Callithrix jacchus: one gene and its partners. The protein of the gene in region 1 interacts with the protein of each later gene in a pairwise test. Links are inferred from orthologs where the notes say so. Each region holds a gene or a part of one and is shown on either strand. Other genes may lie near its edges. The genes, in order: USP25, TNKS2, RAD23A, RAD23B and SYK.

Region 1 (3,519 bases):
TGTATTCCCAGCTACTTGGGAGGCTGAGGCAGGAGAATTGCTTGAACCCAGGAGGCGGAGGTTGCGGTGAGCCGAGATCACGCCATTGCACTCCAGCCGGGGCAACAAGAGCAAAACTCCGTCTCAAAAATAAATAAATAAATAAGTAAGTAAGTAAGTAAGTAAGTAAGTAAAAGTAAGTAAACTTATTTATCATGACACCTTCAGGTGTATAATTTGGTTTGCCATGAATGTATACATTCATTTTTGAATAATTTTACATTTAACGTTTGGGGTGTGAAATGGATTCATTTTGTGTCTAAGTACATGAATTAAGTAATTATAGAGTTTAAAATTGTGTTTCTTTACAATACTTTATTTTTTAAATTTTACATTTTCCATATTACTCTTACATGTTAGAAGGATAATTCGTTTGGAGGTAAAAGTAATTCTTTATTATATATTTTTCTCTTCCATTTTTGTTTTGTTTTGTATTTTTGAGTTGGGTCTTGCTCTGCTGCCCCGGCTGGAGTGCAGTGGTGTGATCATAGCTCACTACAGCCACTAACTTCTCAGCTCAGGAAGTCCTCCCACTTCAGCCTCCCAAGTAGCTGGTACTACAGGCATGTACTGAAAGGCCCAGCTAATTTTTTTAAATGTTTTTTTAGAGACGAGGATCTCACTATATAGGCCAGGGTGGTCTTGAACTCCTAGCCTCAACTAATCCTCTCACACCACCTCCCAAAGTGTTGGAATTACAGGCATGAGCCACTATGCCTGGCCTGTTTTCTTCCCTTTTTAAAACCTAATTTGAACTTCATAATATCTAGACTTAGTATAACACATAGGCCTAACTCCATCAGCTTTTTTATGTTTGGGGGCTTTTTGTTTTTGCTTTATTCCATTAGGTTTCCCAGATTTAGAAGCAGTCTTTCATTTTTCCACTTCCTCTATCTCCTTTAGATATTCTTATTTTTTTTTTTTACCCTTTTAACCTTTTTCTCAGTTACTACACCTGTCTGCACATAGAAAAGAACCTAAGTAGTCATTGAACAAACTAAATGATGTTTGTGATCATAAAACAAGGTAACCTGAGTTTTTACTTTACCTGTGACGTTGTGTTAAACAAGTAGGTTGCTGACTTTCACATTAGCTTCAATTTGGAGTTTAAATGGAAGTCACCAGGAATATAAATACCAAGGAAGACAGAACTACCTGAATTTATCAGTTACTGCCTCTTTTCCCAGTTTTTTGCTTAATTTGTAGCTCCTATTTTATTTTGTACTTTTAAGATACAACTGTCTCCTGGTTTTAGATGTTGCTGTTGCTAAAAAGGTGCTCTCAGGCATATATTGCATCAGATGATATTTTTTATTATAATGTAGGTACTCAAAACTGAAGCTTATACTTAAAATGTTTTATAATTGTAGCTGACTTTGTTTCTACAAAGGTGAAATACTAATGCCATATGTTTCTTTTTAATTTTTAAGTTATATAGATTCCTTGCTGTTCCTCATCTGTGCTTATCAGAATAACAAAGAACTCTTGTCTAAAGGCTTATACAGAGGACATGATGAAGAATTGATATCACATTATAGGAGAGAATGTTTACTAGTAAGTTGAATGCATATAGTATGATCTTATCATTTTGTTTTACATTGGGCAAATTTTCCAGACTCATATATAAGTGACTGACTCCATAAATTCTGATGGGATAAGAATATGGTGATGTCTATAAACTGGTTCTTTTCCCTTCAGATGGCAAAGTACCCTCAGTACTTAACTTTTTTCTCTTCATAAATCCCAAGTCCTGTAGGTGATAAATGAGAAATGTTCTTAAAATAGCATCAGATTGTTTACATTCATATATTTACATTTCTTCATCCCACTACCACTGCATTTTTTGGTGGGAGAGTAATGGATGCATATATCAGCCTTAAAAAAAGCTTTATGTAAGTCTATAAGAATATGCATGGAATGTATGAGAGTAATTTCTATTTAACTTAAAAATTGAATTTTGAGGCATAAGAATAGTATAGCTGATTTTAAACATAAATACAACAAACACTTGATGGTTCCTTTGAAACATTCAAAAAATGGTATAAAATTTCTCATCATTTTTTGTTAATAACCCAGCCACACTTGGTTATTTTTCATCGGAATTTAAATGAAACCTCATAAAGATTACTTTAATGTTCCTTTCAGGTTTTTTCATATTACATATTTATAGAGTGTCAGATTCTGAGGGATACAAACATGAGTCAGATGCACTTCCTGTCCTCAGAAAACTCAGTCTGGTAGGAAACATACAGAAATGATCGTCGTGTCTGGAATAATTGCCATTATAAGAAATATGCAAAATGATATGCCTGAAATATTTGTGAAGAACCTTAAGAGAGAAGATAAACCCTGATCTGGATCTTGATGGATAAATAGGAGTTTTATTAATGATAGAGTACGTAACAGAAAATCGAGATAAATTCATTGTGGCTAGCCAGGTTATGAGGAAGTGGGGTTAGGTGGAAGTAATGAAACTGGCAATACTTGTTGATGTCAGACGATAAAGAAACTTACAGGACATTCAAATGAATTTGCACCAGTATAAGTTTGGCATGATGAGGTTTTCAGAAAAGAATTCTGATAAAAATAATAGCATACTAGAGGCTGGATAAGAAAGAAGTAGATTGATGTCAGTAACCTTAGAGGGAAAAGTCAAGTGATGGAGGGTGAGGGCCTCAACTCAGGTAGTACAGTGGGTATGATGGTGGAGGAAATGAAATGAGGGCATGTCATAGCTGTTGGGTGAGTGGGAAGAAGGAAATGGAAGAATCAAAGCTGCCAAACTTTCTAGTTTTTCATTTAGTATTGGGTAATCTAATAGGAACAAGGCTGGCTTTGAACATGTTATATTTAAGATATTTCTAGAACAGTCTTTGATTCAGTGAATTTAACATTAAACTTATTAAATTTTATGTATCTTTTAATGCATACTTCCAAAAATTATAGTAGATACTTGAAGACTTAGCTCATTTTATTCTCTTAAACCCTATGGATGGAATATAAAATAATACCCTACTCTTAATGTAAAGAAAGTGAAAACAAGAGATTTAGCTATTTTATTCAAGATTGGTGTACTAGTCCGTTCTCATACTGCTCTAAAGATACTACACAAGATGGGGTGGTTTATAAAGGAAAGAGGTTTAATTGACTCACAGTTCCACATGGCTGGGGTGGCGTCAGCACCCATGGAGGAAGATGAAGGGGAAGCAAGGACCTTCTTCCCATGGCAGCAGGAGAGAGAAGTGCAAGCAGGGGAAATGCCAGATGCTTATAATACTGTGAGATCTTGTGAGCCTCACTCCCTGTCACAAGAACAGCATGGGGGAAACTGCCCCCGTGACCTCATTACCTCCCACCAGGTTTCTTCCTCAATACCTGGGGATTACAATTCAAGATAAGATTTGGGTGGGGACAGAAAGCCTAACCATATCAATTCGGTAATTGATTCATGGCCAAGGTGGACTTTAGCCAAGTGTTTCC
Region 2 (3,519 bases), on another chromosome or scaffold:
CTCTTCTTTGGAAGATAGAACCACCAACTAGTCTACCAAAATCTCCTGTTATCTTCTAAAAAGAAACAGTGACGCAATACCAAAAGGTTGTTTGAAACTAAGAAAGGCCAATCACATGCCTGAGAGAAGTGGGAGGGTAATCTACTGAAATTGGTCGGAAGGAGAGACCTATCTAAGGAAGTAACATTTCAGCTGAAGTCTGAGAATTGAGTGGGTGTCAGCGAGTGGAAGAGTGGTAAAATAGATACCATTCCAATGGTGGTGAAAATTATATGGATGGGGACCATTAGTAAAGGAAGTTTGGCCTTTGTGAAGAAAAGAAAAAAACTAATGTGCATGGGGCATAATGAACATAAAATGAGATCAGAGAAACTGGAGCCACTGTGCAGAATTTGGATTTTCTCTGAAGTACAGTGAGCAGCCTCTAAAAGGTTTTAAGCAGAAAAGTGACTTGATCTAATTTTTATTTATTTTAATTACATGAATGGGAAAGATATGGACAGGAATTGGAGTAGAAACAGAAGACTGTTTTAGAAGCCATTGTATGATAGTCCAGGGAAAAATTTCAGTGATTAGACATAATGGTGACAGTAGAATTAAGAAAAGTAAATGGATTTCAAATATATTTTGAAGGTAAAATCAACTTAATTAGATATGTGTCCAACTTTGCAAGCCACTTGATGGAAGGTCCTTAAGCCCTCTTCCCACTTGCCCAGTGACTCGTGTGTTTGCTAAGATATAAACAAGGTGGTAGAGTCTGCATCTCTATAGGGTTATTACAATTTTTAAGGTAGTTAAAATAAGGACTAAGGTGACAAATTATTTCATTAATAAGAGTAGTAGAAGAAATTCTTAAAAAGTTCTTTTAGGGGTGAAATGATAAAAACAATCATAAATATTTATGTATAAATAAATTTGTAAAACTTATGCCATGCCCACAGATTGTCATATTTATGTGTCAAATTTGCCTTCAGGGTGATCTTTTCCTTTTCATGTTATAGGCAGCTGCTCTTTTGCCGGGTAACCTTGGGAAAGTCTTTCCTGCAGTTCAGTGCAATGAAAATGGCACATTCTCCTCCAGGTCATCACTCAGTCACTGGTAGACCCAGTGTAAATGGCCTAGCATTAGCTGAATATGTTATTTACAGAGGAGAACAGGTAATACAGTTTTATTTGTTTATCTTCAAAAATGCTGGAGAGGCATACTTTAACTTTTTACTAATCCCTTGAATTGACAAGACATATTATTGCCTTAAGAACTGGATTTTTTTTTAATTTTATTTGGAAATAATTTCAGACTTGAAAAGTTACAAAAATAGTAAAGAGAATCCCCTAATAACCTTTACCTAGATTTCCTAAATGTTAATATTTTATCATTCTCTTTTTTTCTCCTTTATCATTCTTCCTTCCCTGTTTATGTATACATATTTTTTTGTGAACTGTTTGAGAGTAATTTGCAGGGCATGCCCCTTTACCATTAACTGCTTCCATGTAAATTTCCTAAAAACAAGAATATTCCCTTATATTTATCAAAATCAGGAAAATGCCATCGAGGTAATTATATCTGACCTACAGACTTTATTCAAATTTTGTCAATTGTACCGGATTATTTTAGCTCTTATAAATGATTGAAATCTTGTATTTAACAGTTAGCCTGTCTGTAGCAAAGAAGTATATAATTGTGTCTTGCTGTCAGTGGCATAGATCCAGCCAAAAGTAGATCTAGAGCAGTGTTCTGAATTGCGGGTAGGTATTGGAATCACCTCAGTTACTAAAATCAGACATGAACTTAGTATTCATCCTAGACTCACTGATTGAAAATCGAAAGGATTGTAGTCAGGATAAAGATGTTTTGAGAAAATGTCCCTAGATGATTCTGATCTACAACACTAATTTAGAGCCTCCTCCCTAACGTTAGGAATACTTACAGGAAGTCTATTTGTCTTTCAAGAAAATTTGTGTACCGTTATTTGAATTTCTTTCTCTTCCAGGCTTATCCTGAGTATTTAATTACTTACCAGATTATGAGACCTGAAGGTATGGTTGATGGATAAATAGTTGTTTTAAGAAACTAATTCCACTGAACCTAAAATCATCAAAGCAGCAGTGGCCTCTTAAGTTTTACTCCTTTGCTGAAAAAAAAAAAATCATCTTGCCCCACAAGCCTATAGCAAAAGGATAAAAATGTGAAAGAAGTTTAACATTCTGACTTGATAAAGCTTTAATAATGTACAGTGTTTTCTAAATATTTTCTGTTTTTCAGCACTTTAACAGATGCCATTCCAGGTTAAACTGGGTTTGTCTGTACTAAATTATAAACAGAGTTAACTTGAACCTTTTATACATTATTCATTGATTCTAACAGAAACTGTAATGCCCTCAACAGCTCGTTTTACTAATACAGTACTGTGTTCTTTAAAACACAGCATTTACACTGAATGCAATTTCATTTGTAAAACTGTAAATAAGAGCTTTTGTACTAGCCCAATATTTATTTACATTGCTTTGTAATATAAATCTGTTTTAGAACTGCAGCGGTTTACAAAGTTTTTTCATATGTATTGTTCATCTGTACTTCATCTTGCATCATCATGATTGAGTGATCTTTACATTTGATTCCAGACGACGCTATGTTGAGTTGTTAGTTGGGAAAGATTGATTTATCAGATTTAATTTGCTGATGGGAGCTTTTATCTGTCATTAGAAATCTTTCTCATAGAACTTATGAATATGCTGAAGATTTAATTTGTGATACTTTTGTATGTATAAGACACATTCCAAAGAGCTCTAACTATGATAGGTCCGATTACTAAAGAAGCTTCTCTACTGGCCTCAATTTCTGGTTTCATGTTGGAAAATTTTCTAAAGTCATTCTGTGAAAATTAGAGCAAAGTGCTCCTGTTTTTTAGAGAAACTAAATCTTGCTGTTAAATAATTACTGTGTTCTTTTCATGGAACTTAAGTAAAATGTTACATTTCAAGGTGGGGAAGGATAATCCTAAATCATTTCCCAATGTATTCTAATTACCTTAAATCTAAAGGGAAAAAAATAGCCAACAAGACTGGGTAGTTTTTTATCGTAAGTATTTTTTTTTCCATTCTTTTTTACTTGGTTTTATTGCTATGTTTATGGCCAAACTATACATCATGGGCAAACTCAACCCAGAACTATAAACTGTAGTTGTCTCAGTCCCTCCAGGCTTCCTGAATGGGCTAGTACAGTGAAACAGGTGCTACTTGCTCCTGGGTTGCCTCTCCATGATGTTACGCCCAATTGGAAATACACTCTCAGTTTGTACACCATATGCTGACTAGGCCTGTGTTCAGTTTGGCAGCTATAGAAGGAAATGCTCCCATAAAATGCCATTCCTATTTTCTAATATAAAACTCTTTTCCAGGAAGCACGCTTAAGCATCTTGTTACAGAGACGTATATGCATTACGGCTTGGTGGTCTATTTTATTTGTTGACTGTAGCTCCCTCCAAAGTCGAGGAAAGATCTTTACTCACTTAGTAAGGA
Region 3 (2,722 bases), on another chromosome or scaffold:
CTATTCCCCGACTCCACTCCCCCGAACCAAAAACTGTGAACTCATCTGCGTGTTGGATTTGGGTATGTGGAAGTTCATTTGTTTGTTTTCGTTTCTATTCTTTTTAAGACAGAGTCTCACTCTGTCACCCAGGCTGGGGTGCAGTGGGGCAATCTCGGTTCACTGCAATTTCTGTCTCCTGGGTTCAAGCAATTCTCATGCCTCAACCTTCGAAACAGCTGGGACTACAGTGGCCTGCCACCATGCTCAGCTACTTTTTTAGTAGAGACAGGATTTCACCATGTTGGCCAGGCTGGTCTCAAACTCCTGACCTCAACTGGTCTGCCCACTGGTCTCCCAAAGTGCTGGGATTACAGGTGTGGGCGCCACTGTGCCCAGCCTGGGTATCTGGAAGCTCTGATACAACTCTCTCTACTCTTGTCTACATCTGACCATTTTCACATTAAAGAAAGTGTTGGCCGTGCTCAGTGGCTCAAGCCGGTAATCCCAGCACTTTGGGAGGCCGAGGCGGGTGGATCATGAGGTCAAGAGATCGAGACCATCCTGGTCAACATGGTGAAACACCATCTCTACTAAAAATACAAAAAATTAGCTGGGCATGGTGGCGCGTGCCTGTAGTCTCAGCTACTCAGGAGGCTGAGGCAGGAGAATTGCCTGAACCCAGGAGGCGGAGGTTGCGCCATTGCACTCCAGCCTGGGTAACAATAGTGAAACTCCGTCTCAAAAAAAAAAAAAAAAAAAAAAGAAAAGAAAAGAGTTTTTCAGTCAATGGACTGTGGTACTGTGGAGTGGCAGAGGCCCTGGAGAAGCCTGCCAGGGAGCTGGAGTGCAGGGAGGGGCTGGATGGGGAGAAGAGACAGGACAAGGGGAGGGACCTCAGCTGGCCCCCACGGCCTGAGGCTGAAGCAACCCCAGGCTGGTCCTTGCAGAGATGGGGGAGAACTGGGGAAGTCTGTTCAAAATCTTAGAAGTCTAGTCTAGAGAGCACTCTGGGCCGGGCGCGGGGGCTCACGCCTGTAATCTCAGCACTTTGGGAGGCTGAGGCGGGCAGATCCTGAGGTCAGGAGATGAAGACCATCCTGGCCAACATGGTGAAACCTCATCTCTACTAAAATACAAAAAAATTAGCCAGGTGTGGTAGCGCACACCTGTAGTCCCAGCTGCTCAGGAGGCTGAGGCAGGAGAATCACTTGAATCCAGGTGGCAGAGGATGCCATGGGCCAAGATCTGCCACCGCAACAGAGCAAGACTCTGTCTCGGGGCAGGGGGTGGGGGGAAGCACTTTGATGGACAGATTAAGCCAACCATGGAGTATGGCACTGAGAGAGACTTGAGCTGGTTATATAGATTTGGGGGTCCTCAGGCCAGGCATGATGGCTTACGCCTGTAATCTAAGCACTTTGGAGGCCAAGGAGGGCGGATCACCTGAGGTCAGGAGTTCAAGACCAGCCTGACCAACATGGTGAAACCCCATCTTTATAAAAATATATATATTTAAAAAAAAAAAAAAGATTTGGGAGTCCCCATACAGACTGAAGGCCCCAGGACACTATGAGGGAGGACTGAGTGCAGATGAAGAACAGGACCGGGCAGGAGAAGCTGGCAAGGGGCTAAGAAATGAGAGAAGGGGCAGACAGCAGGGTCTTGGGTCAAGACAGGTGGGCACTTCACAGAGGACCCAGAGGAACCTGCACTCAGAGGCCCACGCCCCTACTCTTCCTGTGAACATTCAAAGGCCAAGGTTGAGCCTCACTGAGCACAGAAGTCCCAGAGCCAACTGGGACACAGCTGTCCTGGGTGATGTCATGCCACCTTACAGACATTTACGTAGTGCCATCTGTATGTGGAGCCAGAGCCAGAGCCCCAGCCCAGGACCCTGAGGCAGCAGGCAGACACACACTCTACCAGCTGTGTGGCCCTGGGAATGACAGGCTGTTCTAAGCTTCTAGTGTCTTCTTCTGCAGGAGGTGATGTTGACAGCACCCACACCTCACAAGGCAGTTCGGAAGACTAAGAAACCGTGGGGGTCGACAGGTCACAGGAAGCATGGGGGTGTGGGGGAAGAATGCGCTTAGTCCTGCTTTCCAGGATTAGAACGACTTCTGTATGTTATGGACTCTGGTGCCCGCAGGGAAGGGAAATGGTGGCTGCCCTGGTTCCCTCTGCCCCTGGGACCACACCTGCAAAAGCTGAGGGTTCTCCTGGCCCAGCTGTTGGAGCAGAGCAGGCAGCAGTGCAGGGTTCTGCTGAATCACCTGCCGCATGTTCTGGAACTGGGGCTGGTCCCGCAGGAACTCCAGGGGGTTCTCTCCTGCTGGTAGTAGGAAGGGGTGCAGTCAGACACTGCACTGGGCTCCCAGGAGCACTGCGGGGTGGAGTGTGGTGTGAGTCAGGTACCTGGAGGGCAGATGCCGCACGTGCACACCCACCTGCTTCCGTGGCCGGCTGCTCGGATACCTGGCTCTCCTGGACAGAACCGTGTTCTGGCTCGGGGCTCCCAGGAATTCCCTGTCAGGGGTCCTGTTTAGTTCTAATGCACAGAGCTCCTGTTGCCACCCTCCTCCATGCCCTGGCAGGACACAGCTGAGGCGTTGGCCCTGCCCTCCGGAGGCCCCCCCATCGCTCACATCCAGCCTCCTGTGGGACAGCGTTAGCGGCTGCAATCACTACCCAAAGGCTTTTCTGGGCAGATTTTGCCTCTCCAACTGCCCATGAGGGCAGT
Region 4 (4,127 bases), on another chromosome or scaffold:
CACTTAGTGTTGCCCCATTAAATAAAATTTTCACTATTTCTTTTCTTACTGCAAGTCTGGGGTGTCGTATCAAAAACAAATATTAATTAAAACCCACTACATAGAATTGAAACAGTTGTCTTGAAAAAATTTCCTAAAGTCATTAAAATAAAAACTGACAAGTCATTAAATGCAAACATTCCATATATCAGAGGAAATGCTTTAATTTCTTGCCTCAGACTAACAATATTAGTTTTTTTATACTAATAGCAACAAAAGTATATTTATATAAATAGCAAAAGCTGTAGAAGCCACTCCCTACAAATGAGCTTTTCAAAAATATTATTTCTAAAAGTATAACATACTGCTTTTCCTTGGAAATAAACTGGAAAATAGCAAAAATAGTTAAGAATTTGTACAAGTTGGGTGGGGAATGGAAAAATAAATAAATATAAGAATCTGTACAAATTCAGATACTGCATTGGCTCTCAGTTAACACTGTATGTGAAAAGTGCCTAAAAAACGCTAAACAAATCTTAAAGAACATAAATACTTTAGTGGAGCTGTTAAAAGAGTCACTGCATAACTTCAATACACCCACAAATATTTACCAAAAAGCCACAATATTTCTTTAGGTTTGAATAATTCTGAAATTAAACTGAGTATTATAAGCTGATTAAGTTATTGGGGCACCATCATTTGTTACCACAAAGAACCAAAAGCAAATAGGCATTTTACGTAGTTTGCCTGAAATCATCAAACAAACCCCATTGTAACTTTCACCCTTCAACTTATTAACGCATATTAAGCAGTAAAGAAATATTCAAGAGGAATTTGATTCTGTTAGTACTGTCAGTCCACAGGGTGTTGTCAATTACTTCTGAGGACACAGAAAAGCTTTTCATGTGTAACTGATATGTCCTGTACCTTTAAGAAGTTAATCACACAGCATACATCTACATATAAATATTTTGAAATCGAATAATTTTGTACAAAAATCGCAAAAAAGTTGGGGGAACTCTCCTTGTTTCTTAAACAATTAAAGATGTGCAAAACTTAAGATTAAATAAGTACAACGTAACGCTGTTGTGTCCTCCATTCAAAAGAATCCACTGTTTAATCAATTCCATTTACTGACCATCAAGTAAATATGTACCATTTAATCCTCACATCTCCGCAAGGCAGCTATTATCCCTACGGTACAGAGGATGAAACTAAGCGTAATTTGCCCAAGGTCATGGCAAGTAAGTTACAAAACCACAAATGGAACTCAGGTTCTACTTAATTAACACCAAAGCCCCTGATCTCCACCCAAAATAGAAAAAACTACTTTAAAAAATAGAGTTGGGCAGGAAACTGCTGGTTTACACTTAGTCTTATGACAATCTTAGCGGTGTATTCCAGAACATAAGCAGTAAATTTACACTCACGGCATTATTAGATTCTTGGCACAAAGCTGTGTCGACCTCAACAGTGTCTCTTTATGCAGTCACAAACACAGAAAAATGTATAACGTGGACTTCCGAAATGTTTAAGACTAACTGCAGGAGGGATTCAAAGTTGTTTTTTTTTTTTTCTTTTTTCCCCCTTGAACATCTACTGTTTGGGGGCCTGGGGAGTGTGGGTGAAGGGTTACAACTCCTAACAATTCCAAGATAAAGCAGAGAACCCGTTACATCTGAAGTTCAGTTTGAGCTTGGAATGGATTTGAAGGCCTCTACTGCTAAAACCTTCACCACCAAAGAAGCCTCAAAGTGCAATCTACACGGGGTGTGGGTTGGGTGGCGGGAGGAAGGCAGCAGAACAATTCACTTACAAATAAAAGGGTTAACAATTCTGGAGGTAAAGGGACAAATTCATTTTCACCACCGCACACCTCTCACTCGGTGATAGACGAAACCTGATGCTTTTTTTTTTTTTTTTCCTTAAAGCTCATCTTCTCGGGTTACCAACTCTGGGATCTAAGCGCCTAACCAGGTCCACACACAAGTAGTGGCGACGCCTACGTCTTCCTCCCCCACCTGTGCACCCACACCAGAAAGCCAGGCACCACGGCCGAAGCTGCCTGGACCTCCCCATCCCCCTCCGGCCCTGCTAGCACAAGCTCCTAGGCCCGGGCCCGCGGGCGTGCGCTCCACGCCATCTGCCCAACCAGGCCTTCGGCGTCCGGTCACTACTTCCCTATTCTGCCACAAAGCCCCCGGCCAAGCCAGGAGGGTCGGCTCTGCCGCACGCCGGCAGGGCACGGGCCGAGACCGAGACGCAGGGCCCTCACCGCACCCTCCGGGGCTTCCCCCGCTGAAGCGCGCCGCCCGGCTCCACTCCCGGATCCTGTCGCTCCCCCCGGCCCGCACGCGGCTGCCCCCGCCCCCGGTCCGCGTGCATACCGTCTCCTCGGGGTCGATGTCTATCTTGAAGGTCTGCTGCTGGAGGGTCTTCAGGGTGACCTGCATGGTGCCGCCGCGCAGCTCTGCTGCCGGGCCTGCGCCGGGTGCTGACCGCTGGGCGGGGTCTGTGGCCTGGCGGGGCCCCGGGGTCGCCCGCGCTCCTCGCGCTCTGGGGAGGAAGACGGTGGGGGTGGGGGCTTGTCACATTCGCCCAGCGGAGCGGCCTCTCCCCCAGCCCGTGCTGCGGCCCGCGCCGCTGCTTCCGCGACTGCGGCCTTCCCCGCGAGCTCGGGCCGCCGTGCCTCCTCACGCGCCGGGCGCCAGCCACTGAGTCTGCAGGAGGCGCGAGGGGCTCTGCGAGGCAAGCAAGGAATCCGCTAGCTCACCACAGGATGGTGGCCGCCATCATCGTGACTCGCCGAGACGTCCCCCTCCCCCACCCGAAAAACCCTGGGGGGGATGGGGCCGGGCGGGCGAAGCGCGCAGGCGTGAGGGGGGTTGCGGCGACGCTTTGCGCAGGCGCGGCAGAGGACTCCACCCCGGAATTGGGGGCGGGGCGGAAGGCGGCTCTGGAATGTCGGCGGCCTGGACCCGGATTGCGCAGGAGCGGCGTTCAGTCGGCGGCCGGGGCTCTCTGGGCTTCCTCTTCGCAGCTATTACAGGAGCATTCTCTCAGTCCGCCGCCCCTCCGCCTCTTTCCAGACTCCGCCCGGCTGCCGAAGTTACGCAATCTGTAGCCCGGGAAGCGCTACGTGGAGAATCGGCCGAGTGGATGCGGAGCCCTGGAGTCGGGGAGTAATGGGGCGGAGTTTAAGTGAAAGGATGGCGGTAACCACAGCTAGGGGCCAGCACCCGCCGGGGGCTCGCTGCGGGACTCAGCCCTGGGATGTAGACTCATTCTTTAATCCCGCCACCACAGGCTCCTGAGCCGGACTGCCCGTGTTCAAATTTTGTTTTCTCTCGCTAGGCTTGGGACATTGGGCCTAAACAGATGGGCCGATTTAGAACGAAAGTCGGCTGGGCGTGGTGGCTCACGCCTGTAATCCCAGCACTTTGGGAAGCCGACGCGGACGGATTACCTGAGGTCGGGAGTTCGAGACCATCCTGGCCAACGTGGTGAAACCCCCGTCTCTACTAAAAATACAAACATTAGCGGGCGCCTGTAGTCCCAGCTACTCAGGAGGCTGAGGCAGGAGAACCGCTTGAACCCTGGAGGCGGAGGTTGAAGTGAGGCGAGATCGCGCCATTGCACTCCAACCTGGGTGACAGTGAGACTCCGTCTCAAATAATGATAGTAATTAAAAAAAATAAAATAAAACAAAGGTCACACCTTGGGGCAGAACTGTCCAGTGGTTCCCCGTCTAGCCCCGAGTTAAAGTCAGAGTTCTTAGAACGGACGCATTAGCCCCTCACCTTTCCCCGCGTTGCCTTACTCTCCCCACTGGTGGAGTCTAGGCTGCCCCCGCCTTAGGGCCTTCCTTTGCACTTGCGGTCGCGGCTCCCCTCTTTAAATTGATGTTGCCTTCTTGGTGAGGTCTGCGCTGGCTGCCTTAAAATCGCAACTTCCTATCTCTGTTATTGTGCTGTTTTCTTCCATAGCGGGTATCCCCTTTTAATTACCGTGTAATGTATGTATCTCTTGTTTCTCATCTTTCTTCCTTTCCTGTAAACCCCAGACTGAAGCTGCACTGCACAGAGGCAAAGATTTTACTTTATCCACCCATGAACATGGCTGGCACACTGCAGGTGCACAGCAAATAT
Region 5 (3,519 bases), on another chromosome or scaffold:
CCTGCCTCAGCCTCCTGAGTAGCTGGGATTACAGGCACACGCCACCATGCCCAGCTAATTTTTTGTATTTTTTTAGTAGAGACGGGGTTTCATCATGTTGACCAGGATGGTCTCGATCTCTTGACCTCGTGATCCACCCACCTCAGCCTGTGTTTTTATTTTTTTGAGACAGAGTCTGACTCTGCTGCCCAGGCTGGAGTTCAGTGGCATGATCTCAGCTCACAGCAACCTCCACTTCCTGGAAGGTTCAAGTAATTCTCCTTCCTCAGCCTCCTGAGTAGATGGAATTACAGGCATGTGCCACTGCACCTGGCTAATTTTTGTATTTTTAGTAGAGACAGGGTTTCACCATGCTGGCCAGGCTGGTCTCAAACTCCTGACCTCAAGTGATCCACCCTCCTTGGTCTCCCGAAGTGCTGGATTGCAAGCACAAGCCACTGTGCCCAGCCATATTCTTTTTATTTATACACTTGAAAGTACTTAAGTAATGTGTAAAGGTCTTTCTGGTTTTATTTATTGAATGAATGAGTGAATAAGGTTTGATCTCGTTTTACCATGCTAGGACTTGAGATAAGTTGGAAATGCCTTCTGCGTCATTTTCATTTTTCCTCAGTATGGTTTACTCTGCTCTGCTCTCCACACTGCAGGGTCAGGCTCTGGAGCAGGCCATCATCAGTCAGAAACCTCAGCTGGAGAAGCTGATCGCCACCACAGCCCATGAAAAAATGCCTTGGTTCCATGGAAGAATCACTCGGGAAGAATCTGAGCAAATTGTCTTGATAGGATCAAAGACAAACGGGAAGTTCCTGTGAGTATTCTGCCTTCCCCTCACCTCCTGCCACCAGACCTATGTGGACAATTGAGAATAGTTCACCTTCCCCATGACTGGCCTCACATGACCCTGGGAAGGGGCCATATATTGTCATTGTCAGGGCTCGACCTCACAGGAAGGCCTTGAGTTGGCCATAAGCAGTGAAGTAGATGGCAGTAGCTGGCACAGTTATCACCAGGGTAGCAGGGAGGCCACTCCAGAGGGTCCGGGTGCCTTCATGCTTCACAATCTCACCAAGGCGGGCCCATACCGGCTCTGCCACATGTGCGGGTCCACGCGCTAGCCCGAGGCCATTGCGGAAAGCAGCGGCGTGGACCCCGCCCCCCGCCCCCACACTGCGCAGCGAAGTCCTTTATTGGGCCGGAAAGGCGGGGAGCTGCTCTAGGAGTGGGGTCCTAGGCTGGTGGCAGCCCTGTCCGTTCTGGCCGGGGCGGGCGGCCAGCTGGCTCGCTACTTGGTGCGTGCCTTCACGTACTCCCAGCCCTCCTTGGAGTACTCGCAGGCCTTAGAGGGGGCCATCTCTTTTTTTTTTTTTTTTTTTTTTTTTAGAAATATGCTTTTATTATCTGCACAGAGATATCACTGCCCCCCTCTAAAGCATCACTATTTGGGGGAAGGAGTCTTGGGGGGGCGATGGGAGGTCCTGAGTCCTGGCTTCCACATACCATATGGGCAGGAAGGCATAGGGTGCATCTCGGTGTACAGACACGGTGACTGTCTGCAGTTTTGCCCAGCGCCCCCTCCTTAGTTGTTCTCTTGACCTAGGTTCTTATTCCACCTTACATTGCAGTTGCCCAGTTATCACCCTATATTTGCCAACCTCCCAAATAATAACTTCCATGGCTTTCTCCCTTGCATTGTCCACAGCTCACTCCCACACCTTCCCGTATTCCCTCCACACCTGCGGGGCTCACCCATGGACTGACAGTGCATAGCACCCCATGCCCAGACCTGGCATCAGGTAGGGCATTAGTGAGAGGAAAGAGCAGAGCTAAGCCTGGGCAGCAAGAGCCAGCTTCAGAATGCATGTTCCTGTGACATTTGTAGAACCTTAGGCTATGGGGAAACGTTCCCCAGGCCCTGCTCCTCTGGGTCTGTGACTGTCTTGAGGAGTCAATGAAAACACACACCATGTGCACAGCACAGCATATGTGGTCATCACGGGTGTAGCTTTCCTTCTTTCTTCCATGCTCTTTTGCCATCATGAGCACCGGCAAAGTCTCCTTGTCAGGGTATCTTATGGTGTTTTTAACAGAGAAAATGTGGGGAAACACCCTGGAAATTTCACCTCTTGGCAAACTTTCATCTCCTACAGAATCTGGCTGGGGTTCTTAGCTGTTGCTGGGTGTGTAAACCTTCCTCTTTGAAGGGTAGTGGGCGTGTTATACTATGAGTGTTTGAATATGGTCATGTGTGCTTGTGTACAGTATGGGTAGTTTGCCACTGTACTGAATACAATGCAGATCTTCCCTGCTTCCAGCACAGGGCAAGGTCTGCGTCCATGAATACAATGTCTCCCAAGGCCAGGTTGCCTAGACATTGGTCCAGATGTGTTTCTTTCATGGGAAATAGAGCTCAAAGTCTCCAGGGAACTCTTGTAAACCCTCACTAGATCCTGTGGCTCCCCTCTCGGTGTGAGTGCATCAGCTCCTGATTCACTGCGGGAGTCTGTCCTATACTCCCCTGTTGGGTAGGGCCAAAGTTGCAGGAAATCCCAGACCTGGTTTTGAATCATCCAAATCTGCCCTATTTGCAGAGAGTTTTACAAAGTGTCCCTTATTTGCAATGAATAGCCACAGCACAGGGTCTTTGGAGTCAGAACTAAATCCCGGTCACTGCTGAATATCCTCAGTGAGCCAGGTGCTGTTTTTCTTCCACTGTTCTTGGGCTCTCATTCAGATTCTCCTAAAGAATGCGCTCATGTCTACTTTCCAATCAACATGTCAGCTTATCTGTCCAGGGACCAACATTACTGGAGTCTGTACTTGCGTGAAACCCTAAGGGCCAGGCACCATTCTGGACTTCGGGAAGGGAGAATTGAGTCAGCAAACACCTGTCCTCGTGGAGTCTGCATTTCAGTGAGAGAAAAGACACTGAACAGTGAGAAAGAACTGCATTTAAGGGCATAGAGACACTGGGGTTGGGGTGCTGGGGCTTTTTAAATGCTGCCTGGGGAGGGAGGGCCTTGCTGCTAGGGAGACCATTGAGCAGAGGCCTGAAGGCAGCAAGAAACCATCCCCGCCCAGGGAATGGCACATTCACCTGCAGTGGCCTTGACTGCACTTGGATGCATACACGGCATACACTAAATGTCCAGTCATCTATGCAAACTCTTCCCATCCCTGTATCACAGCTGAACCATGACCTCTGCAAGTGAGTCATTCTTCTGCAGGTGAGAAGGCCAGGCAGGTCCCTCTTATCCTTCCCTTCTGTTCTTCAGTCTGCAGGACGTGTGTTTATTTCTACTCTGTGGCTCTGAATATACAGAGTGAGAGTCACCGTCTGATCATAAAAGGATTCACACTAGGCTTTTGCTTTTATGAAATGACAGACTTAAATAAAGAATAACTGTTTCACAGAGGGGGTTGGAAATTTATTTTTGCATTGCAAGCCATAAACTAATCAAGAGGATTTTACTAGTTTGGTGCGTAATACGGGTCAACAAAACCCCAGCAGTTACTCTTCAC

The links.
Region 2: the proteins of USP25 (region 1) and TNKS2 interact in a two-hybrid assay, tested with the Homo sapiens proteins (2 studies listed by BioGRID and IntAct). The link is inferred for Callithrix jacchus from reciprocal best matches to the Homo sapiens genes USP25 and TNKS2.
Region 3: the proteins of USP25 (region 1) and RAD23A interact in binary tests that used the Homo sapiens proteins (3 or more experiments, as listed by UniProt). The link is inferred for Callithrix jacchus from reciprocal best matches to the Homo sapiens genes USP25 and RAD23A.
Region 4: the proteins of USP25 (region 1) and RAD23B interact in binary tests that used the Homo sapiens proteins (3 or more experiments, as listed by UniProt). The link is inferred for Callithrix jacchus from reciprocal best matches to the Homo sapiens genes USP25 and RAD23B.
Region 5: the proteins of USP25 (region 1) and SYK interact in binary tests that used the Homo sapiens proteins (3 or more experiments, as listed by UniProt). The link is inferred for Callithrix jacchus from reciprocal best matches to the Homo sapiens genes USP25 and SYK.

The regions. Positions count from the first base shown.
Region 1 is NC_133522.1:22,892,149-22,895,667, forward strand, and holds part of USP25 (ubiquitin carboxyl-terminal hydrolase 25), read left to right. Parts: intron 1-1,469; coding exon 1,470-1,593; intron 1,594-3,519. UniProt on the Homo sapiens protein: Deubiquitinating enzyme that hydrolyzes ubiquitin moieties conjugated to substrates and thus, functions in various biological processes including inflammation and immune response.
Region 2 is NC_133513.1:84,637,633-84,641,151, forward strand, and holds part of TNKS2 (poly [ADP-ribose] polymerase tankyrase-2), read left to right. Parts: intron 1-1,001; coding exon 1,002-1,158; intron 1,159-1,991; coding exon 1,992-2,054; 3' UTR 2,055-3,519. UniProt on the Homo sapiens protein: Poly-ADP-ribosyltransferase involved in various processes such as Wnt signaling pathway, telomere length and vesicle trafficking.
Region 3 is NC_133523.1:11,771,592-11,774,313, reverse strand, and holds part of RAD23A (UV excision repair protein RAD23 homolog A), read right to left. Parts: intron 2,509-2,722; coding exon 2,430-2,508; intron 2,315-2,429; coding exon 2,181-2,314; intron 1-2,180. UniProt on the Homo sapiens protein: Multiubiquitin chain receptor involved in modulation of proteasomal degradation. Binds to 'Lys-48'-linked polyubiquitin chains in a length-dependent manner and with a lower affinity to 'Lys-63'-linked polyubiquitin chains.
Region 4 is NC_133502.1:155,652,830-155,656,956, reverse strand, and holds the start of RAD23B (UV excision repair protein RAD23 homolog B), read right to left. Parts: upstream 2,801-4,127; 5' UTR 2,753-2,800; intron 2,702-2,752; exon of another isoform or gene 2,536-2,701; 5' UTR 2,433-2,535; coding exon 2,367-2,432; intron 1-2,366. UniProt on the Homo sapiens protein: Multiubiquitin chain receptor involved in modulation of proteasomal degradation. Binds to polyubiquitin chains.
Region 5 is NC_133502.1:74,857,089-74,860,607, reverse strand, and holds part of SYK (tyrosine-protein kinase SYK), read left to right. Parts: intron 1-647; coding exon 648-808; intron 809-3,519. UniProt on the Homo sapiens protein: Non-receptor tyrosine kinase which mediates signal transduction downstream of a variety of transmembrane receptors including classical immunoreceptors like the B-cell receptor (BCR).